Linked DNA regions of Tamandua tetradactyla. The protein of the gene in region 1 purifies or fractionates together with the protein of each later gene. This does not show direct contact. Links are inferred from orthologs where the notes say so. Each region holds a gene or a part of one and is shown in the gene's direction. Other genes may lie near its edges. The genes, in order: PTPN6, CD72, CD22 and RPL35A.

What was found.
Region 2: the proteins of PTPN6 (region 1) and CD72 purify together in Homo sapiens (affinity purification with western blotting; 3 studies listed by BioGRID). This does not show direct contact. The link is inferred for Tamandua tetradactyla from reciprocal best matches to the Homo sapiens genes PTPN6 and CD72.
Region 3: the proteins of PTPN6 (region 1) and CD22 purify together in Homo sapiens (affinity purification with western blotting; 5 studies listed by BioGRID and IntAct, with this or other methods). This does not show direct contact. The link is inferred for Tamandua tetradactyla from reciprocal best matches to the Homo sapiens genes PTPN6 and CD22.
Region 4: the proteins of PTPN6 (region 1) and RPL35A purify together in Homo sapiens (affinity purification with mass spectrometry; 3 studies listed by BioGRID and IntAct, with this or other methods). This does not show direct contact. The link is inferred for Tamandua tetradactyla from reciprocal best matches to the Homo sapiens genes PTPN6 and RPL35A.

What each region holds. Positions count from the first base shown.
Region 1 is NC_135333.1:69,240,869-69,248,598, forward strand, and holds the start of PTPN6 (tyrosine-protein phosphatase non-receptor type 6), read left to right. Parts: upstream 1-4,444; 5' UTR 4,445-4,669; coding exon 4,670-4,683; intron 4,684-7,730. Other genes in the region: ATN1 (atrophin-1), read left to right, coding at 1-115, 455-635, 786-819; C7H12orf57 (protein C10), read left to right, coding at 2,464-2,515, 2,845-3,021, 3,717-3,868. UniProt on the Homo sapiens protein: Tyrosine phosphatase enzyme that plays important roles in controlling immune signaling pathways and fundamental physiological processes such as hematopoiesis.
Region 2 is NC_135328.1:60,158,792-60,166,753, forward strand, and holds the start of CD72 (B-cell differentiation antigen CD72), read left to right. Parts: upstream 1-4,872; 5' UTR 4,873-5,027; coding exon 5,028-5,109; intron 5,110-5,222; coding exon 5,223-5,330; intron 5,331-5,942; coding exon 5,943-6,017; intron 6,018-6,711; coding exon 6,712-6,801; intron 6,802-7,180; coding exon 7,181-7,516; intron 7,517-7,962. UniProt on the Homo sapiens protein: Co-receptor of B cell receptor (BCR) that plays both positive and negative roles on B-cell functions. Recognizes the Sm/ribonucleoprotein (RNP) self-antigen ligand, and coligation of CD72 and BCR inhibits BCR signaling.
Region 3 is NC_135342.1:30,854,131-30,861,628, reverse strand, and holds the start of CD22 (B-cell receptor CD22), read left to right. Parts: upstream 1-4,217; 5' UTR 4,218-4,412; intron 4,413-5,001; 5' UTR 5,002-6,825; intron 6,826-7,498. Other genes in the region: MAG (myelin-associated glycoprotein), read left to right, coding at 1-22, 359-455, 1,168-1,267, 2,125-2,289. UniProt on the Homo sapiens protein: Most highly expressed siglec (sialic acid-binding immunoglobulin-like lectin) on B-cells that plays a role in various aspects of B-cell biology including differentiation, antigen presentation, and trafficking to bone marrow.
Region 4 is NC_135336.1:18,702,619-18,711,084, forward strand, and holds RPL35A (large ribosomal subunit protein eL33), read left to right. Parts: upstream 1-5,363; 5' UTR 5,364-5,386; coding exon 5,387-5,415; intron 5,416-5,868; coding exon 5,869-5,913; intron 5,914-6,126; coding exon 6,127-6,279; intron 6,280-7,372; coding exon 7,373-7,517; intron 7,518-8,161; coding exon 8,162-8,185; 3' UTR 8,186-8,232; downstream 8,233-8,466.

The sequences.
Region 1 (7,730 bases):
CCTCTGGCCTCAGGGTCCCACCTTACCCGGATCCCCTATCCAGCCGGGACCCTCCCCAACCCCCTTCTTCCTCATCCTCTGCACGAGAATGAAGTTCTTCGTCACCAGCTCTTTGGTAAGGATAGAGGTTGGGGGTGGGGATGAGCTAATGAGAAATTGGCACGAAGGAGGAATTTGAATGGTGGGGTTGGTCTGTTTGAGCTTGGGGAGGGGTGAGGAGGTACGTAGAGGAACTGGGAATGGGCATAGGCAAGCTGAGGCATTGCCTCAGAGAGGAGAAGGTTTTAGTGCCAGGCTATAGAGGTTGAGCTCCACCACTGACAACCTGCAGGGTCTGTCACCTAACTTTTTTGGTCTTGGTTTCCTCCGAATGTAAAATAGCTAGCTGTCTCTTGGCCCAGAGTAGGTACTCAGTACCCATCAGTCATGTGCCCCTTACCCTTCCTGCCTACAGCTGCCCCCTACCGGGACTTGCCAGCCTCCCTCTCTGCCCCGATGTCAGCAGCTCACCAGCTGCAGGCCATGCACGCGCAGTCTGCGGAGCTGCAGCGCCTGGCACTGGAGCAGCAGCAGTGGCTGCATGCCCATCACCCGCTGCACAGTGTGCCGCTACCTGCCCAGGAGGACTACTACAGGTATAGGGCACCTGAACCAGGAGGGAGGGCAAGTGGGCTCAGCCAGCCTGGAGATGGGTGTAGGCATGCTGGGGTAGGGAACTTGGGCAAGGAGGGGTCAGGTCAGGGTCAACTGGAGTCTCTACTCACTGCTTTTACCCCCATCCCCAGTCACCTGAAGAAGGAAAGTGACAAGCCACTGTAGAATCTGTGACCAAGAGAGTACCACGGCCCTTGCATCTGGACCTTGGAGGCCCCCCCTCAGCCTGCCACCCAGAGCCCAGGAGAGAGTGCTGCTCAGTTGCAGGACCTCCGTGGTTGGGCAGAGGGAGGGAATGTGTGGGGAGGTGGCCAGGGTGGGGGCAGAAAGCGCACAGTATCTTGGACCAGGACCCTCTTCTTTATCCCCTGCTTTCCTTCTCCCCCATACCCAAACCCCCGGGCCACGGCCCCTCCCCATCCCGTTGGTGTGATTATTTCATCTGTTAGACGTGGCTGTTTTGAGTAGCATCGTGTGCCGCCCCGCCCAATCCCCGTGTGCGCGCGCCCCCTGCGATGTATCCCCCTCGTCCCTCCCCATATTAATAATTTATATATATAAATATCTATATGACGCTCTTTAAAACACATCCCAACCAAAACCAAGCAAACAAAAATATCCTCACGACTCTCGAGGAAGATGGCTGCGACTGGTTCTTTGCGGGCTTTGGGGGCTGGTGGTGCGGTATACTGCTGCGGTGCCTGGAGAGGCTGGCAGCAAGTGGGAACAGACGAACCTTTTGAGGGAACTGGGTGTGGGGACCCCGAATTGGAGAGGGGATCTTGGAAGACTAATGGGTTCGTTGGGGGGGTGCCACTCCCCACTCAGTGCTCGCTCCCTCTTCCCCCAAGCTTGGGGAAGACACTTATTAGAGGCCTGGAATGGGCCAACCTCTGACGTGGCTTGGCTAGAAAACTACTCTGGTCCCACAGCTGCAACCCCCCAAAATCCTCTGGAACAAAGATTTCAGAATCCTGCATCCTTTCCATGGAATAGTTGGAGAAATGATTATAGGGATGAGGTGAGCTTAATCTCAAATAGGTCAAGAACCCCGAAGCTTTAATTACCCTTGGATTTGAAGAAGGAGAGGCTGGCAATTTGAAAAGCCTTGAAGGTAAGTAAACGCGTCACGCTGCAGCACCTATTCCTGCACAAAGCCTTTTTAGGGAAATGCAAAAACTGCGCTTACTCCAGGCTTTTATTGAGCCAAATCGATGTCTTCATTCTTAAAAATATTCAGGGTTGGGGTGTGACTGGCTGTTCTCTCAGCCAATCAGTGTCGGTTCATTTGCATAGGCTCGGGAAAACCGTTCACAAACTCTAGAAATGAACGATTTAAATAAGTTCCTCAGAATACTGCTTTTTTTTCATGGGAGTGCCAATATGTCTCGCGGATTATATATTAATGAGAACTAGGAATAAATAAACAATTCTGCTCCGAATTCACCCTCATCAACAGTGGAGTCCGAAGGTATTCCTATTCTCTCCAGGACACACGTTATCGGTGTTGCAGCTCTTTTAGAATTTGTCTAGTAGGTTTTCTGGCTTTAGCCGGAAAACCCTCGTTTTTGTTCGAAATAATAGAGCTAGGTTTACAGAAATTCGGTTGTTTGGTTGTGGGTTCCGTAGTGTTTGTGTGGTGGTCTTACATATCCCGCCGTGGAGTGTTAAAGGTTATGCGAGAGTAACTTCCGGTTGCAGTAGGTTGAGTTTTTCTCAAACCACCTCTGGCCACGGAACAGCTTTCGGAGTCGGCTCCTACTTCCCGCTCCTTCCCTCGCTACGTTATATCCGTAGCAATTCGTCCGTATGGCGGCTGCTTCGGCCCAAACCGCACCCCTGAGCGCCGAACAGGCGAAGGGTGAGGAAGCATTCCCAGTTACTCGTGTAGACCATCTGCTGTTGGGAGGATGAGGGTGCAGGATCGGGAGACAATAGTGGCTGTCATCGTCGGGGGTAGGAGGGAAGGATGGGAGGAGAGAGGATGGAGCTGTCGCGGGGTGCTGTCTCCTGCTCCTGAGTGGGGTCCTGCCCCCTGAAGGTAGGGATTAGGGGCCGAGTTTATCGGGTGGGCTGCCGATGGCCTCGGCCCACTAATTCCTGGCGCATTTTCCTGCTCTCTTGTCCGGACCCACCCACGGTGGTCCACCGCCTCCTTCGGGCTCTTCCCTGGATGGCCCTGGCGCACAGTGGTTCTAGCCGAGGTGATCCAGGCGTTCTCGGCCCCGGAGAACGCTGTACGTATGGACGAAGCTAGGGACAACGCGTGCAACGACATGGGCAAGATGCTGCAATTTGTGCTGCCCGTGGCTACGCAGATCCAGCAAGAGGTCATCAAGGCTTATGGTTTTAGCTGCGACGGGGAAGGTGGGTAGACGGGGTATGGGGGTGGGTCGGGGAGAGGGGTGGTGGGGCGCTCGTGCCCCTTTGCCGTCGTGCCCCTTTTCGCCACAGGGCGGCGGCCACAACCCAGCAGTGTTGACGCCAAGGATCTAACCTCAAATTGTGCCAACCCAAGTCTGAAGTCCATTTTGTGGTTACCTGTTAAACATTATATTATCCCATTGTAAGATTAAGAAACAGACTCTATCTGTAAAGTAAATGCCCAGAGTCGCAGCAGAACTGGACTTCTAGCAGTTTAGTGTGACAACCACAAGATGTTTGGCGCCCCCGTCACAGTGTTTCAGCTAATATCTTTTTGGGGATTTGTGTGATTCAATCCCAGCTGTCCTGTGATCTCCTGTGTTGGTAACAGACCTGGGATCTTGTGGACGTTCATACTAGGGCTCTTGTGACTTAACTGTTAAAATGGTTCACCTGAGAGCGAGGAGCACTTTACTTTGGGATTGTTTCATTCACTGTATTCCCAACTGGTTGTGCCCAGTGTAGACCAGGAAGTGGTTGATCCAAACCACACAGGATAGAGGCCAGCTGGTGTCCTGTTTTTCAGACAGCTCCCTGGTAGTGGGGGAGCAACCTATGAGGCATGTTCAAACTGCCCCCTCCTGCCGTCTTGGTCCAGCCCTCCCAGGCGTGAGCTAACTCTCCACTCCCTCTTGCAGGTGTCCTTAAGTTTGCTCGCTTGGTCAAGTCCTATGAAGCCCAGGATCCTGAAATTGCCAGCCTGTCAGGCAAGCTGAAGGCTCTGTTCCTGCCGCCCATGACACTGCCGCCCCACGGGCCTGCTTCTGGTGGCAGCATCGCTGCCTCCTGAGGGGGTTGGTCCTTTCCTGTTGCCCAGTGCTGCTGTCTGGGAAGGGAAGGCCTTGGTGTTTCCAGAGGATAATAAACGTGCCTGTGTCTTGGCCTCTGCGTCAGTCTTTTGTGATCCTGACAATCTCCACCTCCTGTCCCCTGATTCCCTTTCCGTTCCAGGCTGCCCCACATCTTCTCATCCAGATCCTTCCTCTGTGCTCTGCTGGCCTCCCACCTGGAGCAGGTGAGGGTCTCAGGCTCCTCAATCCTCCCCATCGCCCACAGGGTGAGAGTATGGGCTGGTACCCTTGACACCAGGACAGGTGGGCCTGCACTGTGGTGGCACTTCCTTCTCTGAGGAATTAGACTTCCAGGGCTTTTACATCGCCTCATTGCTTTCTGTGGATTGTGAGTTTCCGCCATTGGTTGACGTTCCCTTTGCCAGGGCTACTTCCTGGTTTCCCGGCACCTGCCTTCCTGCTGTCCTGTCAGGTGGAGCGCCAGATGACTCCTCCCTCCCAAGGGAAGGAGGCCCTGGATAGGCAGGCAGGCCTGTGGGACAGTAGAGTGGAGCTGGAGGGGAAGCGGGCTGTTGTGGGCGGTCTGAGGCCAGCCCCGCCCCACCTGTCCCTTCTCCGGGGATCATTAGTCCAGGGGCTTATCCTAGCAGTGCCATTGGCCTGGCGGGTGGGATTAAGGAGGAAGTGGCTGAGTTCTGAGCGACTTCCTCTCCTGGCTGGGCCACTGTGCTTAGCTTGCCCCTGGTTTGGCCCCACCCCCTGCGGCCCACTGCCTGTGACTCCTCCATCCCTCCAGGGACATGCTGTCCTGTGGGTAAGTCCCCTGTCTACGTAAGTCCCCAGGCTTCCGTAAGTTTGGGAGGGAGGGGCAGGTATGTGACCATGAGTGGGACCTTCTGTGGGTTTGCTTCCTGTGCCAGTGTGTCCCCCTCCCCAGGATGTGAGGACTCCTAAGCGCATTCATGCCCCCTGCCCCCTTTTCTCCTGCCTCACAGATGTCTGTCTATTCTCACCATTGCCCATGAGAGCTGGCGCCCTGGGTAACCACATTGTCTCAAACATAAGCCTGAAAGGCAAACCTGAAAAAGCGTTCCTGCTCCCACTCAACTTCCCCTTCACATCCCAACCTCTGGCCTTGGTTCCATTCCCTTTCAGTTGCCCTGAACTTTCCCATTTCTCACATCATTCATTCAATAGGAGACTACTGAGCATCTGTTAGGTGCCAGGGCCTGCTTAGGTGCTGGCAATGCAATAGTGACAAAGACCCGGACGGCTCCTGCTCTCATGTCCTTCTAATAGGAGGCACCATGTAGCAATCAACCCAACAAAATAATTTTAGATCCTTACAGGGATTATGTAGAAAAAAGAAACTGCTCTAGTGCTTGCAAGTGACTGGGGTTGCCAGGGGCATTACTAGCTGCAGGGATCAGGGAGGATTTCTCTTAAGGAGGTGTCCTTTGAGCTGAGACCTGGATGATGAAGAAGAGGCAGCCAGCCATGTGGTGATTGGAGGTCAAGCTCCCGCCATGGGCCGAGGGAATGGCAGGTACTGATGTGGAAACAAACAACAAAAGGACAGAATGCCTCAAGCCCAGTAAATTGGAGGAAAGGCAGGCAGGGCCAGGGCAGGCTGTGCCTTTTCTAAGTGAAGTCCTGCTTAGAGAGTGTTGGTAAGTTTGGGCATTGCTGAGCACCCCCAGTCCTGTGGGTCCATGCTTCTCACACTCACATCTGCCCCTTCCTTTCTGTTGGCACTGCCTCCCCTGCTGCACACCCTCCTTGCTGTCAACCCCCACAGACAGGATTCTTATGGGGTCTCTGGTCCCTGATCCCTTTCACACTCAGGCACCTTGGCATGGCCTCCCCCTTGCAGAACCTTTCCTTGGCTCCCTGGCCTGGCCTGGGAAGGCTATCTGCAGCTGGGTCCCAGTCTCTCGGGCCAACTTTGCTCAAGCCACACTGCTCAGCTCATGTCCAGCACTGCCCCTCAAGTGTCTTCTGTGCCTGCTGCCTCTGGGCCTTTGCAGATGCTGCCCCTTGTGGAATGCCTGCCCCCTTCCTTTTCTACCATGGACTGTTCCAGTGACCACCCCACCTGTTCCATGAAGCCTTCTCCAGGAGTATGGTTGGTGTGGTGGAAAAGGCAGTGGGTCCTGGCATCAGTCGAGGTTTGTCCATCTTCCCTCTTACTAGCTTGTGACTTGGGCATGTTACATAACCCCTCTGCACCTGAGTTTTTATTTCCAAAGTTGAGCTATCAATACCCACTAAAAGGTAGACATGAGGATTAATAATGTCATGTAAAATCTGTTGGCCCTGAAAGCTATCACCTATCAGCTTTTTATATCAGTGTTTGGGAAATATCATTAAGCCTATTTATAGGTGGGGATACTGAGACTCAGAGGAGTTAAACTACTTTCTAGAAGTTGTTTCACCTCGTCTGCCCTTTGCCCTTTCAGACTGCTTGTCTTTAGGTCTCACCATTGATCTTGGTCTCCGCTTTTATCTCCTTGTTTCCCAAAGGAGTAATTTTCTGTTCTGAATTATCAGGCTCTTAATATGTAACTCCCAGCTGCTCTAAGCCAGTTTCCTCCCCTTCAAAAACGTAGAAGATATTCCTACATCACAGGTCCATCCATGGCCAAAATAGGATTATGCACGTGCAAATGCTCTGCTAACTCAAGAGCATGGAACAACTATCAAACTTTATCTTTCTTCCTAAAAAAAATTTTATTGTGGTGACATGTATTCAACATAAAATTTCCCATTTTAACCACTCTCGAGTATACCATCAGTGGTAATTACGTTAGCAGTGTTGTGCTACCATCGCCACCGTCCATTACCAAAATGTTTCCATTGCCCCAGACAGAAACCCTCTACCCAGTAAGCAGTGACTCCTCGGTCCCCACCCTTGCCCCAGGAACCTGGAGTCTACTTTCTGTCTCTATGAATTTGCATATTCTAGTTATTTCACATAAGTGAAATCATATGATATCTACCCTTTTGTGTCTGGCTAATTTTGCTCAAAATGATGTCTTCAGGGTTCAGCCATGTGGTCGTGTGTATCAGGACGTCATTCCTTTTTATGGCTGAACAGTGTTCCCTTGTATGGATAGAACACATTCTGCTGATCTTTTCATCTGTAGACGGACACTTGGGTTTTGGGTTGCTTCTACCTTTCAGCAACTGTGAATAATGCTGCTATCAACATTGGTGTAAGAACATCTGTTTCAGGCCTTACTCAGTGGTTGGGGGTTATTATTTTAAAATTTCCCTGCCAAGGGGCAGCAGAGACTGACTGTCCATCTCTTTGTGTCTCTACCTTCTGACTGTGCACATTTCAGATAAATTCCTGCATCTTTGATGAGTCAGGAGTTTCTGGACGCTTAGTTAGATCTTTCCCGACAAGTAGGTTTAAGCTGAGGAGAGAGAGTGGGTGGAGCCAGGGTGCAGGAGGTATTTGGTGCTGAGCACGGAGCTGAGGTCTCACATGTGGTCAGGACCCGGTGCTCATGTGTGGGCGTTTACACTGGACCAGATATGTGCTGGACTTGTAGATTTTACTATTTGTCCTTAACTTTTTTATTGTCGTATAACACATAATAATGTGCCTAATGTGATACGAAACATTCCTAGAACCTCAGAAGTTTCCCAGAAATTGCTGTCTCCAAGTCAAGTTATTTATTTTCCGGGAGGTAATACATGTCCGTGATACAACATTCAAAAAGGTATAAGTGTTCCTGCCAGCTCTGTCTGCCAGCCACCCAGTTTCCCTCCCTAGAGGAAGCCGTGCATGTGAGTTTCTTGGCCATCCTTTGTTGGATTTCCTCTTGCTTTACTTGGGTATTGTCTGTGTATGTT
Region 2 (7,962 bases), on another chromosome or scaffold:
GCTGGTACAGTGTCTGACATTTTTGGTAAAGGAGCTGTAGTTTTTCCACACGCTTTCTTAGTCTATGCGTTTAGTTCATAATAAGTTTATAGTCCACTGAACCTAGCTTCCTAATTTGTAAATTAAGTGGGTTGGGCTCTAAAATGTCCCCCACCCTCAAATTTTTTCTACATAAACTATTGTTAGGACAGGACTCCCTCCATCCTATGCTTAGGTACTTTTCTTTTAACCCCTAATTTCATTTTTCAATAAATGCTAGCCATTGTCATTTATTAAATTATTACACTTCATTCTTCTTAAATTTCATTCTGTGGTCTGGAGTCATCTTTTTGCCCTGCTGCAGACATTCGAATCTTGAGTTTGCCTTTCAGATATTTGCTCTTCTTTTTAGCTTTGTGCCATCAGTAAATACAAATGTGTTTTCCATGTCATCATTCAAGACGGGACCAAGGAGAGCCCGGAGGCAAGTCACTGGAGACCTAGCAGCACTCTCTGACTTCAGGAATTCAAAAAGTTGCAGGGGCCCCTCTTTCTCTCCCTCCTGAATCTGAAGCTATGGTTACGGACATTTAGAGATGCCTTTGCCACAGTCTAGACCTATTATGTTTCCGGCAATCACACCATCGACCGATATCAGACATTACCTGAATGATTGCATATTTTAAAGATGAAAACCTTGGAAATTGTGACTTGTCTTAAGTCACATACCGTGATAAGGCTGGTTTCTTTACTCCCAGTATTGTGTTCTTTCCATTACATCATGTTTCCTCCACAGTTCAGGGAACTTGTCAAAACATTGTATATTAGTTTTCTATTGCTGCTATAGAAAATTACTGCAAACTTAGTGGCTTAACCAAGAAGAATTTACTCCCTTACAGCGTGTGTAGGTCAGAAGCCCAACGTGGATCTCACTGAACTACAATCAAGGTGTCTGCAGGGTTACATTCTTTTCTGGAGGGTTTAGGGGAAAATTTGCTTCCTTGCCTTTTCCAGCTTCTAGAAGCCGACTGCGTTCCTTGGTTCAGGGCCCCTTCTTCCATTCTCAAAGGGAGCAGCGGGTTAGTTGAGGCCTTCTCGTGTTGCATCTCTCTGACCTTCTTCCATCATCGAGTCTCTCTCTTCCCACAGCCAGGAAAGATTCTCCCCTTTCAAGAACTAATGTATCAGATGGGCCTAAAACAGGATGAGCTCCGCATCTCACGGCCCTTAACATAACCACACCTGCGTTCTGCCATGTAGGTAACATGTTTACCAGGGATTTCAGTATGCACATCTTTGGGAGGCCATTATTCTGCCTACTACACCCTGTCAGTAGGTCAGGGGGTAAAGTAGTGAAGATTTTCAGAGATTAAGGAGACTTCCCTGACTTCCTGATGTTGGCTGGACTTCACCAAAGTTTATGTAGATGAACCCTTACCCATGTTGCAAATTCTTTCCTGATGCCCTCCTCTTGTGTACCTTAACAACCCATTCCTTTTTTTTTATCATCACAATCAACTTTTATTTCTCTTTTTTGTGAAAAATAACATATATATATAAAAGCAGTCAGTTTCAAACCACAGAACTACAATTCGTTGTAGAAAAGATTTCAGAGTTTGGTGTGGGTTACAATTCCACAATTTTAGGTTTTTACTTCTAGCTGCTCTAAGATACTGGAGACTAAAAGAAATATCAGTTTAATGTTTCAGCAATCATATTCGTTTCTAAACCCTACCTTCTCTGTATAACTCTTCCATCACCTTTGATCTTTCTATCCCACTCTTTAGGGGTATTTGGGTTATAGCCATTCTAATTTTTTTCATTTTGGAAGGGGCTGTCAATAATATGGGATAGAGAGATGGAATTAGCTGATGTTTTAGAGAGGTTGGGCCCTTTAGGTTTCAATATTTATCTGGTCAGAGGCCCATTTGGAGGTTGTAGGTTTCTGGAAAGTTACCCTAGTGCCTGGAACACTTGTGGAATCTTATATATTGCCCTAGGTGTTCTTTAGGATTGGCTGGAATGGTTTTGGTTGGAGTTTGGCAAGTTATAATAGGTAGCAATGTCTAAACTCATGCTTCTTTTGCAAGAAAGAGAAATAATCTCTGAGGTTTAGGCCATTATTATTTTGGCTTTCTGTCACATGCAACCAATCCTAACTGTAACAACGCATTCCTTGTAACAAGCAGTGAAGAGTCCAGGAAAGGGCAAGAAGCGGCTTTGGTGTTTGTATCCTAGGGTCTCAGATGATATTATGGTCCTGGGAAAGCTAAGGTATGCAGCACTGAACTTCAACTCTTAACCACCCCCAGGGGTTCCTGATATTTGGACAGTAGGAAATTACAGGTGTCCTTTCTGATGACCAGCCTGGAAGGTCACGTGAATGTCAATATTGCAAAGATCCCACACGGCACATAGGCGGAAGGTGACGAACTCTGCTTTCACATATACCCTATTCACAAAGCAGGCTATAAAGTGACCTAAGACAGAAGGGAATGCCAAACATCATGAATAGACAGGTAATCATCACCTAAAGGACTAAAAAGAAGAGAAAGATAGGCTGAGCCTGATCGAGACATCCAAGGCAAGCTCCTTCTTCTGGGGCTGGGTGTGTAATTAAGCTCACCCAGTTTCATCCGAGTACCCACTTCTTAAACCTGTTGAAGAGTCAAGGCAGGCCGCATGCCCACTGGCTCCTTTAATCAGTGCATACTGGGAACTCTGTTTTGGCATTTTATCTGGCATCCAGATTATGGTCACCTGTGCATCTGTTTTGAAAACGGGGACATTCATTATGTTTAGGGGATTCCTGCAAGTGTTCTTTCAACGGATTCACACACAAGCTGCCTGCCCCTGCCCCCACCTCCATAACCCACAGACACAAGAAGACTGTCCCCACCTGTCCCTGCTGCAGCTGCTCTATGCACTCCCACTCACTCTCATGTGTCCCTGAGGTCCCCAGGGAGTCACCAGCACACAGCCTCTGTTATCTGGGGGCGGCTCTGATGGGGAGAGGGTGCGGGGTGGAAGTGGGGGGGTTGCTGGAAATCTTAATCAAGCAGGGACCGTTAACAGCTGCACTGACACCTTAGGAAACAGTGAGCCTTAAAAAGGAAATACTTGTAGAACCTGTGGCCATGACCTTTTAAGACTTTTCTTAAAATGGCTGTCATTCCCTGCCCCAGAAGAAAAGAACATCTCTCAAAAGCACCCCTCGGGCCCCAGAATTCTGCAGGTTTAACCCTCCAGATAGGCTGTGACGCAGCTGCTCACCTAGCACAGGCACTCCTACCAGACCGCAAAGAGCTGGCACTGCGCGGGGCACACTTGCGCACACAGGCACACCCCTGCCTCTCCTTCAGACACATTTCTCAGGCGACAAATGTGTGCTTCTGTCCCCATGGGCACTTTCCCCAGGGCGGGGCGGGGCTGCTGGGCAGCTCTCCGGACAGACCCACAGGACCCCTTGCAGCGCCAAGCCACACACCACCACTCATACAGTATGAGCTGTTAGCGTGCCATTAGGACCTCTTCCCCCTTCCTTTTTCTCCCCACAGCTGCAGAAGGGGTTTTTGAGGGGGCAGATGTCATCCGCTGGGGTGGGTATTTTTTCCCCACCTCCACACCGCCGTCTTGTCCCAGAGTTCTTTCCAACCCCCAGAAGGAGGCCCTGTTGGGGTTCCCTGGAATGGGGCACGCTCTCTTAATAATGTTAGGGAGCACCTCGGCACCACTGCTTGACACCCCTTCTCCCCTCCCTGGCTTTCCCTCTCTCCTCCATCAGCTGGGCCCTCAGCACCTATGAGGCCTCTTAGCCACCGCATCCTCTCCACGGTGTGAGGAGGCAACGCTGGATTTTTTTTTTTCCGGCAAGTACTTTACTAGGAAAATAAGGAGGAAACTAAAACCAAACCAAGAAAATATCCTTGCTTAGTCCAGAGTCTGCATGCCCAGCATCCCGCCCTGCTTCCTTTCTTTGCCTCACCTTTAAGAAACTGCAGGAAACTTTTTTCCTTGCTCTCCCACGAGGGTGTACGAGAAGAAGGCAATGCGACCACAAGCTTTTCCAGAGGGACACGAGCAGTACTGCTGCAGGTGCTGAGGTCCCTGTGGTTGTTTTTTTCATCCTCACCCCCAGCCCAGGCCCACTCCTGAGCCTCTGCCTCCCAGGCTCTGCCTGTTGGGTACTGCACGAGTTCAGATGTAGGGACACAGAGGATGACACAAGGCTGCAGGGGCAGGCTGGGAAAAGGATGAGGCTGACCAACCACAGTAGGGCAGCAAAGACCTGATGGGGGACTGGGGACGCCGTCAGAAGAGAAGCATTTGGTCCCTGGTGTTCTGTATCTGGGACGGGCTGCCACATTCCCGGGGAAGGCTTTTCCGTGACAGCAGCCCTGTGTATGTGTGTGATCTGGGAGGTTCTACAGGGCTACAGCAGGGAGGGAGCCCCCAGAGTCCCCAAGTTGATGAGGGAATCCACCACACAAAGGAGTCTCTTTCTGGGAAGAGATGCACTGGTGGGAAAAAGACAAGGTTCCCCCCCTCCCCCCACACCCCAGGCAATGACTGGGGATATTCTCTGGGATTATTTGGGCACAAGAGACTATAAATCATAGGTCCCAGCAGGCAGTGCAGCCAGGAGGGGAGGCTGGGGTAGATCAGGGCAGACAATCAGAAGGAGAGCTATTTGGAGCTCAGCATCACCAAAGTGGGTCTAGGATGCACGAAGAGGGAACACAGGCAGGATGCAGGGACAGATGACAGGGGGCCTGGGACAGGCCCATCCTCTGCTCCATGCTCTGGGCCCAGTTTCCCCTCCCCAGCCCCTCTGGCCCCGGCCCAGACATACCATTGCTTCACTGAACCCATCTGTCTGAGGCTTGCTCACACCTTCCTCTTTTGTGACTGGAAGGCATTGGGTAAAGTGCCAAGCTGAGCAGCCACAGCAGAAACACATAGCCTACAAGTGTGAAGGGACAGAGAGGAGAGTGGCAAAGGAGGCTTGGGGACAAAGGACAAGGCAGGGAGTGGAAGCATTCAGGACCATGGCTGAAGCCATCACCTATGCAGACCTGCGGTTTGTGAAGGCTCCCCTGCAGAAGAACGTCTCCAGCCGGTTAGGACAGGGTAAGGGTGGACGAGGCATCTCCTTGATTCTGTCTGTATCCCCATCCTCGTTTATGACCCCGTCCCCACCCCACAGACTCCACCCCCCTGAGCCCGGCCTGTCTCCTTTCCAGACCCAGGAGCTGATGAAGATGGGGAAATCACCTATGAGAATGTACAAGTGCCCTCAGCCCCAGTGGGGCCTCCGAGCTTGGAGCCCTACGGACTAGGGGACAAAGCAGGTATGGGGAGCCCAGGGGATGTGTGCTTGTGGGGGACTGTGTCTTGGGCTGGGAATTCCCACAGGATTCTTGGGAAGGTGATACCCTTCCGGGAAAGGGAAGGAAGTCTTAGGAAAGATGAGAATAAGAACTGGATAAGGCAGTTCTGGATAAGAACCAGGCAGAGAATAAAGATCCAAGGGGCTAGGAGGGAGACCCCAGTGGGGAGATGAGGGATGTGGGGAGTGATGGCGTGGCCCTGCTGTGAGTCACAGTAGAGAGATGAAAGGGAACCGGAGCGGGAGGAGAGCAACCTCAGAGAGAGGGTGGTGGTGTGGAGATACGGGGATCCCTGAGGGAAAGATCAAGGGACACGCAGTAGGGAGATGAGGGGGACCCCGGGGAAAACACAGTTGAGCCCCAATCGAGAGATGAGAGTCCCCAGGGAGATGAGAGTCCCCAGGGAGATGAAGAACTCCTGAGGGTGACAGAGGTGTCCCAGAAGATTCATAGAGTGCAACACAGGACACACTGCGGTCTCAGCGTAATGGTGGTAGTGAGGGGAGAAGAGGAACGGAAGAAAGGTCCCTCTCTGGTGTTTCGCATCTACAAATTGCAGCTGGTCTCCTTCAGCAGGGGTTAAATCAGAGCAGCCAACTAAGGCTTGGAGCTCGATGACGTCACCTGTTGCCGGGCGGAATCTCCCGGGTGAGTATCACGCCCTCCCCACCCCGCGCGCCCGTGACCTGCTGCTGGCCTCGCGCGCGAGTACTTGGGGGTGAGGCCGCCGAAGGCCCGATCGCTGCGGGAACATTTCCCCACTTCGCAGACTCTGAGTCCCAGGGAAAGAGTCGGGGGGTGGGGGTGGGGGGGGGAAGGCGCTGATGCCTGTTCTGTCCGGGCTGGGAAAGTGCTGGGCCCCATAGTGTGCAGGTATGACCTCGGGAGCGAGCCCAGGGAGCAACCCTTAGCACCACCCCTGTAACATGGTGACCCTGTTCCCTTGTCCCCTTACGCCCATCCTCATGTCTATCATTTAGACATGTGGATCCAGGCTGGACACCGTCCCCTACCCCCACCCCCAGCAGACGATGGCCCCAAAACCCGCTAGTCTGAGGCTTCGTGCCTCCTCCTACCAGATAATGCCCCTCAATTCTCTTTATCAGCAACAATCCCCAGCTCTTATTCTGAGGGATTCCTGGGGCAGGGGGGAAGGGTTCCCAATCCCTCCCCTGCCTGTGAAATATTCCCACAGGCGCACAAAAACCACCACACTCCTCCCTCATCAACCCTGCACCCCTCCTGTTAGGGATACTCTTTCTTCATGAATGCCCCCCACCTGCCAGCCCTTCACTGTGTAACTTCCTGGGACTGACTGCCCTCCTTCCACTGTCTTCCTAAGGCTGTGCAGCCGGCATGCAATACTTCCTTCTGGGCCTGCTCCTCACCTGCCTGCTCTTAGGGGTGGCCTCCATCTGCCTGGGAGTGCGCTGTGAGTACTGGCTGCTCTTTCATCCCCCATCCCTCCACCCCCATTGCCCACTCACTTCCAAACAACTTATTCCCTAAACTCCCCAACAGCCACCCTTCCTCAGCAGGGCCCATAGTCGTTACCATCACGTCCGTCCTTGTCCTCCTTAGCCTTTGGTCTGGTTTCTAGCCAGGTCTGGCTTAGAGCACTTGTGTCTGCCTAAAGGATCCTTACCTAATCCAGTACCTCCTTAAACTTTAGGCAGTCAAATCTTATATTTCAGCCTGTTGTGCAATAAGTTACAAGAAGTTAAAAAAAAAAAAAAAGAGTGGATGCTGAAGTCTCAGGATACTGGGGCGCAGCTGGAAATGCCCTCCAAATTACTCTCTGTGGCCAACAGATCTGCAAGTATCTCAGCAGCTTCAGCAGGTCAACAGGGTTCTGGAAGGCACTAACAGCAGCCTGCGGAAGCAGCTCTACCTAAAGATAACTGAGCTGGGGCAGAGGAAACAGGATCTACAGGAGTTCCAGAAGAAGCTGGCCCAGAGTCAGGAAGCATTACAGGCAGAACAAGGGAGTCACCAGGCTGCAGAAGGGCAGTTACAGGTCTGCCAGTCCAACAGGGAGAAGACAGAGGAGATTTTGCGACGTGAGGAGGGGCAAAGGAACAACTTGGAGCAGAGGCTAAGCAGCACACATGACATTCTGAAACCCTACTTCAGATGTCCCTCACCAGGTATCTGCTCTGGAGAGAGGAGAGATGGGAAGGGTCTGCTGGGAGGGATGTATTGAAGCAAGGGGACACTAGTCCTATCTATCACAGGGCGTTGAGTTGATCAGGAAGTGGGGAGTGAACCAGAGTAGTGGCTGACATGAGCTGTGCAGCTTTAGCCAACAGGGAGAAGGATGAAGCTACATGGTGCCTCTAGGAAGACCACATGGAGGGAGAAGGAGGGTGGCAGCCAGCAATCCATATCACACTGTCCAAAGCAGCATGGTAAACTCATCTGGCTTTACATGTCAAGGATCTGTGAACTCCCTGAATTTGGATGTGAAATTGGTTGTTTACACATTTTTCCAAAGAAAGGGTCCATAGCTTTAATGAGGTTCTCCAAAATCTGAGACCCCTTCTCTCCAAAAGGTTAAGAATTACTGACAGATGAAGTGCAGCTGGTGGTAGTG
Region 3 (7,498 bases), on another chromosome or scaffold:
GAGCTGCCCTTTCAGGGAGCCCGTGAGTGGCGTGGCATTGGGGCGGGAGCTGCAGTTGGGGAGGGGTTGCCGACCAGACACTGAGTAGGGTCAGGCTATGAAGATAAGTGACATGGTAAAGGTTCCTTGTCCAGCTGGGAAGGAGCAGCTACCTTGAGTTTGCTTCTACTTTGCTGGCTGCTCCCTGGCCCTTGATAGTACGTGGCGGGTGGAGGGGGCTGCTGGTAGCTCGGTGCAACAGCAGGTCAGTTTCACGGATATTTTGATCCTCACCCCTGCCCCAGCCCATCTCCTAAGAACCCAGGTGTCCTCTTACCACTAGCAGTCCTGAGGGCACCGGGGTCTTCTCTGTCCCCAGACCGACTGATGTGGGCCAAGATTGGACCTGTGGGTGCTGTGGTGGCCTTTGCCATCCTTATAGCCATCGTCTGCTACATTACCCAGACACGCAGAAAGTGAGTATGCCTGCCAGTGCTGATCTGGAGATGCGGGGCTCTTCCAGGGTGGCTGGAGGCTGAGGAGTGGACAGCCCTGTGTATTGGGGGAGGGTGGCTCCTGCTTTGAGGACAGGGTCACTGTTGGTCAGAGGCATGCCGGTCCCTGAGCTGATCACGTTCCTCAAATCCAGACCTGTTTGCCCATGTCCTCTGAGCTCTGGGAACTCTCCCCTATACCCTCTAATGTGAGGCAGAAAGCCCAGGTATCCCTGACTTGCAGCCCAGCATGTTCCAGGACCCCCAAGAATCACACACATTGGAGGCAACAGAAGCACTCCCCAGCCCCAACCTCACCCACACAATGCTGCTGTGATTTTTCTTCCTGGTGGGACACCACATCAGCTGTTCTGAAAATGAATTTCCCTCCCTGCTGCACATCCTGGCAGCATGAGGGCAGGCAGATGCAGAATGTACAACAGCCAGGCTGAGCTCCTGAAGTGACAGAAGCTGGGGACCTGGTGGCCCATCCTCAGCCAGGGCAGGAAACTCCCCAGGCAGGGGAGGAATGGGGCAGCCTTGGACAGGAAGAGGTCCTGTTTGCTCTATCTTAGAGAGAGGATGGGGAAACTCAAGGGGCCCAAGGGCCAAAGCCCTTAGGTAGATGGGGGTGCAAAAAGAGAATAGACAGGGGTGGGGGTTCCCATGGGGGCTGACATGTCCTGCCTTACAGAAAGAACGTGACAGAGAGCCCCAGCTTCTCGGCCGGGGACAACCCCCCTGTCCTGTTTAGCAGCGACTTTCGCATCTCTGGGGCGCCGGAGAAGTATGAGGTGAGGCCAGAGTCCTGCAGCTCCAGGCTGGCTGGGAACCAGAAGCCAGGGACACCAAGGGCCTGGGAGGGCCTGGGAGGCTGGGGTCTGAGGGAAGCTTCAGCGGGTAAGGGGAGCCGGGATGGGGAGGAAGGGTAGATGGCTACCTGGACTTCCCGGTTGAGGCTATGGGCCCTGGGGCCCAAGGGACGCCCTTGTGGTCCCCACCTGCCCGCCCGGGCTGTGACTGAATTTCCTTCTCCAATAGTCCAGAGAGGTCTCTCCCCTGGAAAGTCACTGAGAGCCCCAGAAGGTAGGTTCTGGGGCCTCCGTGTGTGTTCGTCCTCGTCAGCCGTTCAGAATGGTCCTGGCTTAAGCCTGCCCCTGCCAGCAGTCCCAGCCTTGTCTATTCAGTCCCGTTGCTGCTCCCTCGTCTGTGGCCTTTGTCCTGTGTGTACCCAAAGGTCTGCGTGGGGTGGGTGGAGGGGAAGGGATGCATGATGGGAAGCCAAAGGTACACCTACAATGTTTCCCAGATTGAGGAGGGGGCCACAGCGGACTCAAGCCTAGGGGGAGGACTGATGTAACAAGGCATTTAGACATCCCTGGAAAGGCGGGGTCCCAACCACGTGGAGAAATAGAGTGTTTAGGCAAATCTCAAATTTAGCTACGAGGAGCTTGTTGAGTGTGGTGGGAACAGAACAGACAAGGGCCTGAGAGGGTCAGATGTCAGGGGTTTAGCAAGGCGGAGCCGTCCTTGGGGAAAAAGAGTCACACAGAGCCTGGGCTGGCTGAGTTCATGCTTTGGGCCTGAACTCCAGCCTTTGCTTCGGAAAAGTGGGGGCAGGATGCTGCCAACAGGATGCTTCCCCTTACAGAGCGAAAGGCGTCTGGGATCTGAGAGGAGGCTGCTGGGCCTTCGGGGGGAGCCCCCAGAGCTAGACCTGAGCTATTCTCACTCGGATCTGGGAAAACGACCCACCAAGGACAGCTACACCCTGACGGAGGAGCTAGCTGAGTATGCTGAAATCCGTGTCAAGTGAGGGAGCCGGGGGCAGCCCGGGTGGCCACCCCCCTTCAGGACCCTCGCTGACCCCCGCTGGCTGCGGGCCCCCTTCCTCCGGAAAGTAAAGGGGACTGGGAAAGGAAGAGGCTGGGGAAGGTGACAACAAGGTCCTGGGGGCCTGGCCTCCCCCTCCTTCCCAGCCGCCTCCTCCCTGAGCACCCCCACCCCACACTGTGGCTCCCCTCTAACCTCTTTTAACCTCATCTGTCTGGAGGGGAGTTCTGTCTGTCCGTGTTATTTATTGCCATTCCTGCCTGGTCTCCCACCTTCACACCTGGCCCTAGGGCCTCAACAAAAGGACATGAAATAAATGCCCTGAAGCCAAACACACTTGTCTAAATCCTGATGATTTCAGATACACCTTTGAGGGACCTTGTCTCCCCATGGCCTCCAGAATGATCACAGCCTCTCTTCTTGCCCTCAGCTGGGCCCAGTGGAGGAGTAAGGGCCAGGGATTCTAGCCCTAAGCCCAGGCTAGTCACCCTAAAGGAGTGCTCACTCTGAGCTGTCGCCTGCAGGAGAGTCTGGCCCACAGTGTTCTAAGATTGACTGCTGAGTGATTTCCCCATATTGAACCTCATTTCCAACTTTTGCTGCAGACAGATCTGTGCCCACATTTGCACACAGAGGGACGCTGCCTCTTGGAGGGACAGGGCTCTCCAGGTGCCACAGTCCCTACCATTACCTGCTGTTCCACGCCTGGCTGGTTTCACTCCCAGACATTACTTCCTGGCGCTTGCAGGATGGGGGGTAGGAACCCAGGTCTCTTGAGCTGTTCCTCAGATTCATGCTGCACTGTGCAGCTCCAGTCTTCCAAATCTCACTCCGTTTGGTTCAGGAAACATGAATTAGGCACCTGCTGTGTCCTGGGCCCTAGACCTCCTGGGAAAGTGAGAACCTGAAGCTCAGAGAAGCTAGATGATTTCCCCAGGGTCCCAGAGCAAAGAGATGGTGCAGGCAGATACAGGACTCAGTTCTTCTGCTTGAAAATCCTTTTTCTTTTTTCTTAAAGGGGAACATAAAGCAGACTAGACTCGAAAACAGACCACCATTTGTTGAGTGCTGATTATGTGCCATGTAATTCTACCCACTTTTCCATTAACCCACTTACATGCCCTACCAACCTTGGCCATGGTTCTCAAAGTATAGTCCCTGCACCAGCAGCATCAGTGTCATCTGGGAGCTTGTCAGAAAGGCAAATGTGCAGCCTATCCCAAAGGAATCAAACCTCTGGGGTGGGCCCAGCAACCTGTGTTTTAACGAGTCCTCCAGGTGATTCTGATGCCTGGGAACCACTAGGAGATGACACCGTTATTCCCTTCCTGGGGCAGCTGAGGCCTAGAACAAACATTCATTTGTTCAAGGTCCCAAGGAGCCTGCCCCATATAGCATCAAACATCCCTGTGAGAGTGGAAAGACTCCTCACACAAGCTAGCCCTAGAGGCAGAGAGAAAACCTAGGGCTGCAAACGGTCAGAGTTCAGAACTTAGAACTCCTGGAGCAAGGCAGGGTGTGAGATCACCCTGGCTGGTAGCTGTGGGGCACAGAGCAGAGCCAAGCAGCTGGCTCCGGAGCCCTGGCTCTTGCCACTGTGAGTGCTGACTGCCATTTTGGTGAGAAGGAGCCAGAGCTTGCAGGGAGCTGGGGCATTGAGGGAGCAGGAAGAATAAAGCTGGAAGACTGGAAGCAACCAGGGAAGGATTTCCCAAGGAAGGCAGTTCTGCACTGGTTATGGAAGAGGGCAAAGGATCCAGGGCAGAGACTAAAGAGAAGGCCCGGAGATGGGAATAAAGAAGCCATCTGGGCAGGGATGGTGACAAGGCCACTGGACTGGAATAGAAAGGCCACACACAGGAGAAAGGAGGCTGTGAGGTGGTATCTGGGCTGTGAATGGTCGGGGAGGGTCCCTCTGTGAGGTCATCCATCCAAAGGCCCTTCTCTGAGTCCTGCTCCAACCTGGCCTGCTGCTTGCCCTTTCTTCAGAACTAGCAGTCTGGGCAAGGAGAGGGACATTACATAAATAATCTCACACAGAACGCCTTCCTGCAACTCGTGACCTCTGCACCCAAGGGGAAGTGCAGGGCTTTCAGAGCAGATGAAGTAAGTATGGGCAGGGTTTTGGGGTCAGGAGAAACTACCCTATGGGAGGGGAATCCTGGTAGAAGCCCCCCCGAGTCTGGCACAGGAGCACCCTGTCTGAAGGCCTCGAGGAACGAGTTGGGTGAAATACAAGGCCGGAGGCACTGGGGAGAGAGGTGGGAGAGGCGGTGGCTGGGGTGGTTGCACTGTCCCCACCTCCCGCATACACACTCAGCACCTGTCCCTGACAACAGACCCTGGCTCCGGCAGGTCTGGCCCGGCAGCGATGCCTGCTGAGGACTTCGCCCTGAGGAGCTGGGCAACGTCAACAACAAGGGGCGGGGGGGGTGGGGGCGGCTGACCCAGAGCTGCCCAAAGTGAGGTCTGAGGGTCAGGCTGGTGCCTGAGATGAGCTGAGGGGAGTGGAAAGGTTCCTTTTACCTTACTATTTATGTTTCATTTTGGCAAAAGGAAACCGGCTTACCAAACTGGTAAATTTGTGTGTATGTGCTAAAAACTTAGGGCGAGACTAACCAAAAAAAAAAAAAAAAAAAGAATAAGAAAGAAAAAGCAATCAAATGAATACATTTAAAGAAATAAAATGTTGCAGGTGATTCACAGGGCAAAGGTCAAGATGGTCAAAGACAAAGACCTGAAGTTTGAGAACCAATGAAGTCCTCCACTCACAGACCATCTCTGAGGAGGACCTGACATTCAGTGACACAAGCAGGAGCTGAGCTGAAGACATCACACTCCTGGACTTTGTCCACTCATCCCCCCAAACTGTGCATCCCATGCACGTGGGATGATTGACTGCCCGCTTGCGCCTCAGGCCGATGCTGGGCTCTGGGATCCAGCAGGCACTGAGCAGACACACTGCCTGCCTTCACGGGGCTGACAAGCTTTGGATGTGACAGACACAATGAGATTATCAGGGTTAGAGCCAGTCAGAAGAGAGGGAAACCAAAACTAAGCAGGAGAGAAGCACGGAGGGTGCAGGGCCAGGCTACTGTTTCAGAGAGGGAGCTCACTTGAGTGGAGACTGGAAGGAAGTAGATTCAGGAAGTGGATTCTAGAAGGAGCATGCCTACTGGGGTAGGAGTGGAGGCCCAAGAAAGCCTGATCACAGCTGGCTGAGGGTCATGAGCAGACTCGGAGTGAAATGGGGAAGCACTGTAGAGTATTGGGGGCGGGAGTGCCTGAGGTTTAAAGACCCTGCCAGCAGTCCTGTGGACAATGGGCAGAGGTGATCTGCAAAAGCAGAGAGAAGGCTCCATAACAGGTGTCTGTGAGAGGAAGCAGAGATGGAGAGAAGGGGACGGGGTCAGGATCCATTTTGGAGGAAGAGCTGGTGGGATTCATTAACCCTGGAGGTGAGGGAAAGAGGGGAGTCAGAGGGGACTCCAGCCACTTTCTAAGATGCTGAAGATCGGGGAGGGAATGTGCTGGGTGGAGACCACAAGTGCTTTACTTTGGCCATGTTCGTTCCTGGGGAGGGGCCCAAGAGAGGCTGATGGCACTGGGGACTGGCAAACTGAGGAAGTCAGAACCGATGACCCAGTGACTCATGCACAGCTAAGAAGCAGCAGGCTGGAACAAAGATGAGCAGGTCTCACAGTCTCAGATCTTGGGGACAGATAGGCTGCCCCACACTGGAGGCAGGACAACCAAGCCCAGGCCAGGGTCATGACAGGGACCTCTTTGTCCCTCCCCTCCCACCAACCTATGGGTCACCCCTGGCTGAGACGACCCATCCCTGGCCTGCCCCCATCCTGTCCCAAGGACCGTGCCTGGGGCAGGCAGCTCCATTATCCTCACTGATGAAAGGGATCCAGGCTGATGCTGGCCACTCCAGAGTCTCCTCCCCAGTCAGATTCAGGCTGGATTGGGCTCTCTCGATGGGATGGGGGTGGACCAGATGTGGGGATTCAGGTGGCTGCTCAGCAGTAGCCACACCTCCTTCTCACCCCACCCTCCTCGCTCTCAACTCTGGCCTGCTTTACCTTGGCCGTGCTCATTCCCAGGCAGGGCAGCAGCCACACAGAAAACCTCTGCCTACTCCCAGGCCTCGGTCTGCCTGTAACATCTTCTCTGGGATGTGGGAGGGAAACAACAGCTTGGTCTCAGGCAAGGCTGTGTCACCAAAGTATGTGTGTCGACGTCACCATGCATGTGTTGGTCAGCAGAACTAGTGACAATGGCAGCTCAGTCCATGACAGGCACTGTGCAGAGTGCCCTGTGTGCCCACAGTTTCTCGCAGCACACCCATGAGGTAGGCACTTCTGCTATCACCATAACCTGGAGGTGGGCAAATGGAGGAGCTGTCACCAGCCTAAGGACCCACAGTTGAGAAACAGCAGAACTGGGAGTAGAACCAGGTCTGTGTACCACAAGCTGATCAGATGCTGTGCTTGCTGCTGAGAGGGGTGACTTGGTAAGCCTATGAGGAAACCCCATCCTGACCCTTGTCACAGAGCCCTGGGGAGGGGGCTCAGAGAGGTACACAGTGGGGTGAGGGATGTGGTGGGAGGGGGTGTCCAGGTCTCACGCTGCACTCTTACTGGCTTCACTCCACTACCTCCCAATCAAGGCACCCAAAAGGAGACCACTTACCTCTTCAGGGGGAAAGATGGAAGGAAGACATCAAAGCTTTTGTCTCAGAAGTCCTGCTCCCCCATCCCTGCCTTCTCCTTTCAGCCTTTTGCTTCCAGAAATTGCAACATGTCCATGAACCTATTGCCCAGTTTCCTCCTGTTGTGAGACCATGAGCAATGTCTAGAGCTGGGTATGGCAAAGGCCTCAGATGCTCCTTGTAGGCAACGAGCAGGGATCAAAGACCCTGCTGGGTCGGTCCTCCGTCTGGGAGATCTTTATGATACTCCCCCTTGGCCTCAAGTCCCTCACTGAGATTGCTGCATAACACAAACAAACAATAAACAACTTTCTATTTTGAAATAATTATAGATTCGCAGGAGGTTGCAAAGATAGAACAGAGGATTCTATGCCCTTCCCTCATTTCCCCTGAATGGTTACTTGTTACATTAATTGCATACAGTATCAAAGCCAGGAATTTGACATGGCTACAATGTGTATACAGTTGTAAGTCA
Region 4 (8,466 bases), on another chromosome or scaffold:
ATTTTAATCCAATTGAGAGTAGAGAGTATAGTACTAATCTCAGAAATTAGCCTAGTCTTTCATCTCTGTTAAAGTTGCTGTTTCCCAAGTTAAACGTAATGGCGTAGGCACTCTAAATGATGGAGAAGTAAAAAAGGAAGAAAGCAGAAATTAAAAATAATGATGAGTGCATGTACCATGCTAGTGCTTTGACTTCTTTCATATTGAACTGGCATGATAAAATTTAGAATAGAGAGCTGGTCTATGGCATCCTCCAGCACTGTGGAGATCCTCAGTACATCTAGAAGAGAGAGTGACTCTGTATTTTCCTGGATGATTTCTACAACAGTATCTTGGACTATTTCTTCTTGTTCTATAGCACTAGGTGGTTCTCCTGTCACTGACACCATCACCTCAGAACGCCAAACTTTGGGAGGAAGGTTTGAGACTTCCAGCTGCCCTCTAGGAAAGAATAAAGAAAAAATATTAGGCACCAGATGTTGAAATATTAAACCTAAAAGCACAAATAGCATATAGATTAGCTCCTGTGAAGTTCACATTGTCATATAACCTAGAAGAAAACCAGAAATAGGAGTCTGCAACTACCTTCTAACTGCTATCTTCTAGTGATATTCTACCAACCAAAGGCAATTTATTGTTTAATAAAGATATGTAGCTCATGCTATTTGACCATGCTTAACCAATTTGAATTTGAGTCAAAATTAACTTTTTTTTTCCTAGCAGCATCTTCAGATGCTAAGTGAAATTTGTCTCATTAATGTAAAACAGAATGTGGTAAGCATCGTCCAAGGCAGGCCAGATCCTTCTCACCTCCTAGTATTCAAGCCCATGTGTATTCTTCCTGACATTGAATAACCTATGTAACTCAAGAGGATACTGTGGAAATGACGGAGTGCAACATTCAAGGCTAGGTAACAAAAGACATTGGATCTCTTACCCTTTGGGAAGCCAGATGCCTTGCCAATAAGGCCCCTCAAACAAGCCTGTGGAGAGGTTAATGGCCTCTTGCCAACAACTTGTCAATTACATAAATAAACCATCTTGGAAGCAGATTCTCCTGCACTAGTCAAGTCTTCAGGTTACTGCAGTTCTGGCCCACTTCAGCCTTATGAGAGACCCCAAGCCAGAACCTAAACAGCTAAGGTGCTCCTAAATTCCCAATTCACAGAAACTGTTTGAAATCATAAATGTTTGTGTTAAGCTACTGGGCTTCAGAGTAATTTGGTACATAGTAGTAGATAACTAGTGCTAACAAAAATATAACAGAAGACATAATTAAAAAAATATATACCAAATAAATAAGAATTTTGGACAGTGAACCTTAAGTTAAACCATGGAGTACAGTTAAAAGTACAATTATTAAAATGTGCTTTCATCAGTTGTAACAAATGTACCACACCAATGCAAGGTGTTAAATAGGGTGGTATATGGCAATCCTGTATTTTATGCATGATTGTGCTGTAGACCCACAACTCCTCTAATAAAAAAAAATACAATGAGCAACCACTTCACACCCACCAGAATGGCTATCCACAAAAAAAAAAAAAAAAAAGAAAAGAAAATTACAAGGAGAAATCACAACACTATTCACTGCTAATGAGAATGTAAAATAAGTTTTTAAAAATTAAAATCTTTGAACATACTCATACTCTTCCATTCTTGGGTTAGTATTGTGACCCTCCATGGCACAAGTATAATCTCACAAAAATGCAGTCACCTGAAAATGGAAAGGAAATATCAATTAGTTTTAGGGAATGTTGTCTGACATTTCAGTGATTTCTATGCCCTTTAATTAAGAAAAAATTAAAGAATTGTAAGAGCTGTAGATTATCTCCCTTGTTTGCTTAGTAGAACAGTCCCAGAGATGGGAGAACTGCTGATATCATTTGGTATGTCTGCTAAGTAGTAAACTTAATTATTGGTCTACAAAAGCTGAAGGTAAAAAGAATCATAAGCCTCTTATTAAGGTAAATTAATATCTAACATGGTTTTGTGGTCTTTTATCGTATTCTGATTTTTTTTTTTTGTATGGGAATCAAACCCCGGTCTCTGGCACAGCAGGCAAGAATTCTGCCACTGAGCCACCATCCCACCAACCTGTATTCTGATTTTTAAATTCATAATCTCTGTACAACAGGTTTCTTTTTCTATATTCTGGTTATTAGTATATTTAATTCAATCATACCACTCTCCTGATCTGCCAGATGACCGAATTTATTGCACCTAAAGTTAGAACACCTGAAATTGCACTTAGAAAAACTGTAATTATCTTGAAAATCAGTTTAATAGTGCTATAAAGATGGTACCTTTCCCAGGTAAACTACAGCCTTTTAGTAATTAACTCTTGAAATGAGGTTAACAAAAGCTAATTCTCTATGGAGAATTTTGCTCTATACTTAATTTTCCATGGTGCCTTTGTCCACGATAATGTGACCATAAGGAGAATGCACATCTCAAGCAATAAAAATTTTAAATGCAAAATTTCAATCACATAAAACAATTTTTACATAAACTGAGAGAAAATAAAAAGATACCCCAAAATAGTCAAATTTTTTGAGGAAGAGGCAGTCCTAGGAAGAGGCATCGTGTAATGCAACATTTTGTTATTTTGATGTATTGCTGTTTCTTTGTTTTTCCTTTTTTTTTTGGATTGAGGCATAGATTAAACGTGCTTGGCATCTGTAAGGTAGGGCTGTGCTTATGCAGAATCCAATGCTTTCATGCTGTTCTGGCTCCTCTAGAAACCAAGGACTAATTACTGCAATCTTTTTCATTCTTGATATCAACCTTCTCCACAATCCAAGCCATTTTCAAATCCTTTGGATTTTATCTCCTATTTCCATATACCCCAACATAATGCTGAACCTAGCTACTGTTTCTTGCTTGAACTATCTATAAGCCTCCAAACTGGAAGTGATCTTTTAAAAATGAATGGTCTTTAAAACTGAAAATCTCACTCTCCTGCTTAGAGCCATTCAATGGTTTCATATTGCCTGAAGACAAAGACTGAAATCCTTAATTTGGCCAATAAGGTCTTCATGTTCCATACCCTCAGTTCCTTTCCAGACTCAGCACTGCCCTCTTCTTGCTCTTTTGGCCCAGTGTCAGTTGGTTTCTCTCAGTTCTACTGAATCACACTCCTTTCCAACTCAGGGCCTTTGTACATGCTATTCCTCCAACTTGAACCACTCTTCCCTTCACCTTGTAAAGTCCCACTGACCCAGTAAGTACCAGCTTATATTACTGGCTTTTTGTGAGGCATCCTCCATTTGCTTCTCCAGATTCAATTTCTACCATTCTCTGTGTCCTGAGAGACTTACCTGTATGGAGTGCATCAATAGAAGTTCCAGAATGGGATTCAAAGAATAAAGAGTATGGTCAGGATTTCTTCCAGCTTCCTCTATGCCAGATCACAATAGGTTGGCTATGTCCCTTTATCAAAGGCCATGGCCTCTGTCAAGAAATCCTTTCCATACTGTTCTCTGCCCCTGGGTATAAGCAACTACTTCCTTCCCATGTCTCTGGGGTCTGTACCATCCCTTGTAGTTTCATTCCAGCCTACACCTTTGTAAACAGACCTATTATTAATATCCTCCTGAAATTACTAGAGCATGTCAATGGTTTCTTTCCAGGACACTGATCGATACAGTGACCCATTACACATATATAAATCTTTATAGACATACAAGTAACCAAAACAAAAGTTTCCTGAAACAACTTACATTGTGATATTTTCTATCATATTTTGTTTAAAAATTATTCTGACAGTGATCTATTAATGGCTAGAAACCTACAGTTTGAAAAATGCCTTAAATGACATATCCCCAAGTATGCGCTCCTTGATTCCTGTGCTCAAGCATTTTTGGCACTCTTATTTTCCTCCTGAACTTTCCTCATAATTTGTTACTGTTTGTTAGTTCCCCATCCCATTTCCGTCTTCAGACTATAAGTTCCATGAGCATCATGGAATCATGACAATGATGCTCACTATTGTACCCTTAGTTTCAGGCATTGTACTCAATGAGTATTTGTGGAATAAATGAACAAATGAATGAAACTCACACTCCTCGCAGGAGTACTTGTATTTGGAACCATGAGAAATAAATATTGGGATTTCAAGCATGATTATGAGACAGAGAACGTTCGAAGAGCAGGGGGGCTATAAGATATATAAATTTTATCTTGATGTATTTATCAGAGGATATGATTTTAATTGTTACTTACACTTATTCATAAAACCTTGGAGTCATCCTCTACTCGGCTCTCATGGTAGTCACTCAATAAACTATTTGTTGCATAAATGAATGAATCCATAGGGCAACCCAAATAAAGTCGTAACAACTAGGAAATGCAAATCTCTGATGACCACAAATCCAGTTCATTCTGGTCTACAAGCATTTACTGAGGACCTATTTTACGTGTGGGCACGATGCTGGGCGCCCTACGTTTCAGTCTGGCTGCTGAATAAGTCAGTCGTCCTAAATAGGCGGTAAGGCTTCCGCAGGGCAATTCTCCTCACCCTCAGTGACAAAGCAAAAGATGGAGGTAAGAACTTAAGTCATTATTTGTAAGGGGTAAAGGAGTACAGGGAGGAAATGAGGCAGAAAAAATGGAGAAAGAAACAGGCTCCTGTCTTGGTGCTCGTAGCTAAGGGTAGGATCTGAAAGAGACTCCGTCTGCCCACCTCTACCCAACCCTGGTGTGGTAAGAAAGAAAGACATCCCATGTTCGTGAATCAAAACTGAGGAACCGAAGCCAGAGGAAATCCTCAGGTTCGGTTTCTCTCTTTCCACTTACGGCTGTCCACGGCGCAGGTACCAAACTAGGGAGTTTCTATGGAAACCCAAAGCCTTGGGGGTCCTTTTCGACTGCTCCTTCAGCTGGCTACCACTTTGCCACCTTCTGTTCCCATACAATACAGGTTGCAGCTTATAAAGATGAAAGGACTTGAGAATAGAATTTCACGTGTGCTCTTGGCGGTGACTTGTTTCTATCAGATGATTTCTGATGTTTGTGTTGCTGGCGGTCGCGGAAGATGCCTAAACTGGGGGCGGGGCGGAGAGGTGTTTATCCCACAAGGCCACGCGGCGGGGCCTCGCCGCTCTCTTTCCGCCATCTTGGAGCCTGTGGAGGTAAGTGAGGCTTTGGTTGCTGAGGTTTTGTGTCAAATAACTGGGGTAAGGCTTCTTTCTGTACCTCAGCGAGGCACCTTTGTGGCTCCGAGGCCCTGTCAGCCAGTGACTTCTGGGGATTCCAGCAAGAGGGTGGACGGGATGGAGGAGATACGGGACCGATGATGAACGATCCCTGACGCTCAGAGAACGGGTGCTCGGGTAATTGGAATTGCTTGCTGGGCTCGAATTGAATGAAGTAGGTTCGTCTTCGGATGCCGGGTCAGTTGAGGCATTGGCTCCTGTAAGCTGAGTTCATTTTCTGTTGGCTTCCACTTTAAATCTAGCTTTGCTTGTTTACAACCTCTTTTTCCTAACATTTCCTGCCCAGCCAGTGTATGTCTGTTTTCTGCGTGATTTTCTGCATACTTGATGTCTTTTTTTTTTCTGAATTTTTGTTTACTGACTTTTCCCGGGTATCCAGCTGGAGTTTCCAGAATGTCAAGTGTGTTTTGCCACCCATCTTCGTTTTTCTTCGACTTACATATTTTTTTCTCCACTTTGGAGTTTACTTAGATTCAAAGACATTGATTAAGGATTGGCTGTCTTTTCATACTCTGCGGTTCATACGTTTCACCATTCTCTCATATGACATGTTGATCAAAAAAATATTTGTCCAACACATTTAAGAAACGAGAAGGGGGCATGGTGGAAGAGTTGCGTTGCAAGATTTTAAACGAGTCTTTTTTGTTTTAAGGCCTGCTGGGAACAGGACTTCTAAAGCGGCAAATATGTCCGGAAGGTACGAGTTTTAAATATTGCTTTGTACTTGTAATCTTTTACTAGGCATAACTTAAATGTAGCTTAAAACTGATAGACGGTAAAAAGTACGTATTTGCTATAGTTAGTTTTTGAGGGGGAACCATTACAAGTCTAATCATACCGGTGGTTTGCTGCCGTTAACTGAGATCTACTAACAGTGTATGATTAATGTTGTTTATTTTGTGTATTTTAGGCTGTGGTCCAAGGCCATTTTTGCTGGCTATAAGCGGGGTCTCCGGAACCAGAGGGAGCATACAGCTCTTCTTAAAATTGAAGGCGTTTATGCCCGAGATGAGACTGAATTTTATCTGGGCAAGAGATGTGCTTATGTGTACAAAGCCAAAAAGTAAGTTTGTGGACTTGTTATACTTTTGAATTTTTACTTATTGAAAGAATAAACTACAGATGTTGGTTATGTCATTGGTACTGCTTTTGATTTTGTTTTGAGTATTTAAGGAACTTCATGGGAGGCTATAGAAGGATGTTATTTTTGTAGGTGGTCTTGAGTTTAGGTATCTTCAGCACTTAGAAAGATAATTGTTCACTGTTTCAAGGAAGGAGCTAATTTCTTATATCTTGATCCTTCTTAGAGTTAATAAAGTGCATTTCATGTGCCTTAATTCATTTTGTTGGATCCCTAAAATTGGTTTTTATAGAGGATGTACTTTTTTATATAAACTGTTACGTGTTTAGAACAGTGATTCTTAGCCCTCCCCAGACCAATGAATATCTCTAGGGGCTTGGTTTCATCCCTGTCTCTTACCTCACACCACCTATACTGCTAAAGTAATCCTATGAAAGTATAAGTCACATCATATGTATATTGGTCAAACTCCAGTGGTTCATCATCTTCTTCAGTAAAAGCCAAAGTCTTTAAAGAGCACTGAAGACTGTGCAGTCTTCTGACTCCAGTTAGGGTCTTTGCAGGCCAGGCAAACTCCCTTTTCACTTGGCTTGTTCTCCTGTCTGGAATGCTCTGTCCCAGAGACTTTATGGCTTGTTTCTCTACCTTCCTGTCTTTATTCCAGTGTCACCTCAGTGGGACCTTCCCTGGCAATTTCAAATTGAGTACTCACTGTCCCTATACCCAAATGTTATCCTCATACTTAACCCCCTTTGCATTATTCCCCTCTAATATTGAAGCTATTAGCATGTGACATACTATTTTACATATTTGCTTTTTACTTGAATATCCTGTGGAAGGAATTTTTTTGGTTAGTAAATTGCTGTATGCCCAACATTTAAAAAGTGCTTGGCATACAGTAGGTGTGCAATAAATATTTTTTGGATAAATGAGCCCAGGTATCCTCCCCCACCCATTTATGGGGAACTAGGATTGAGAGCCATTAATCTAAAAGTCGCCTTGAATTTGTACCAAACTATATTGGTTACCTGAGTTCTCATGCGCTATTCCCCCCCCCCCCTTTAAATTAAATCAGCAACACAGTGACTCCTGGTGGCAAACCTAACAAAACCAGAGTAATCTGGGGAAAGGTAACACGTGCCCATGGAAATAGTGGCATGGTTCGTGCCAAATTCCGAAGCAACCTTCCTGCTAAGGCCATTGGACACCGAATCCGTGTAGTAAGTACAATTATTAGCAAATAACCTTTGGTTTAGTGAGACTACTGTGATTCTACTTTGTACAATGTTACCAGTAGATTATGCTGCAATATTAGTGGCCACTTTGGAACTGATGAATATTAGGGCACACCTGACTGTTGCAAAGTGTCCAAATGGAATGTACCTGAGTTTTAGAATTTACTAAAGCTGCCTGGTAAAACATAGTATTTAAATCAATGGTTTTCTTGCAAAGGTATTTACTCAGCACAGAAATAAGCAGTAGAGAAAGAAAAACTCAACCCATTTTTCCTGAAATTATTAAGAATGTTTTCCCATCTCTTCATCCTCGTGTCAGTTTTGTTAAGGAATTAGGCCTTATTTTATGGACGAAGAGAACTGGTGCTCATTTTCTAGGACTCTGGCCCAAGTCTTGGAGTCCAAATAGAGCACTACTAATTTTTTGAGAGTGCTGCTTCTTACCAAGTCATGTTTCCCAGAAACTGAAGGCTATAAAAAAACCTAGTTCCTTTACCCCCAGAATGTAATGAATGGATGCCTAATGGGAAGATAGGAAGGAACATGCCAATTTGCGATTCTCAATAACATGTAAATTTAATTTATAGCTTTCACCTAATGATTTATGTGTTCTTTTTTTCTTTCCCCAGATGCTGTACCCCTCAAGGATTTAAACTTATTGAAAAGTAAATAAATAAATTTACGAATTTGTTCTCTTGTATTTCTGTTTATTGGCTTAAAAAACTCCTTTCCCCAAAGTGAGGTACTCATATGCTTAAGACGATGGAGGTTATTGTGCATTGGAATGGAAAGGGGGCTTAATTGGAGTCACCTAATAGCTTCATAGCACGTGAAGTTGGAGACCTGTATGTGTGTAATGGGTGTTAGAGTTTTAGAATATAAGATGCCTGTCTGAGAGTTTTAAGAGGATAGAAGGAGTACCTTAATAAAGGCC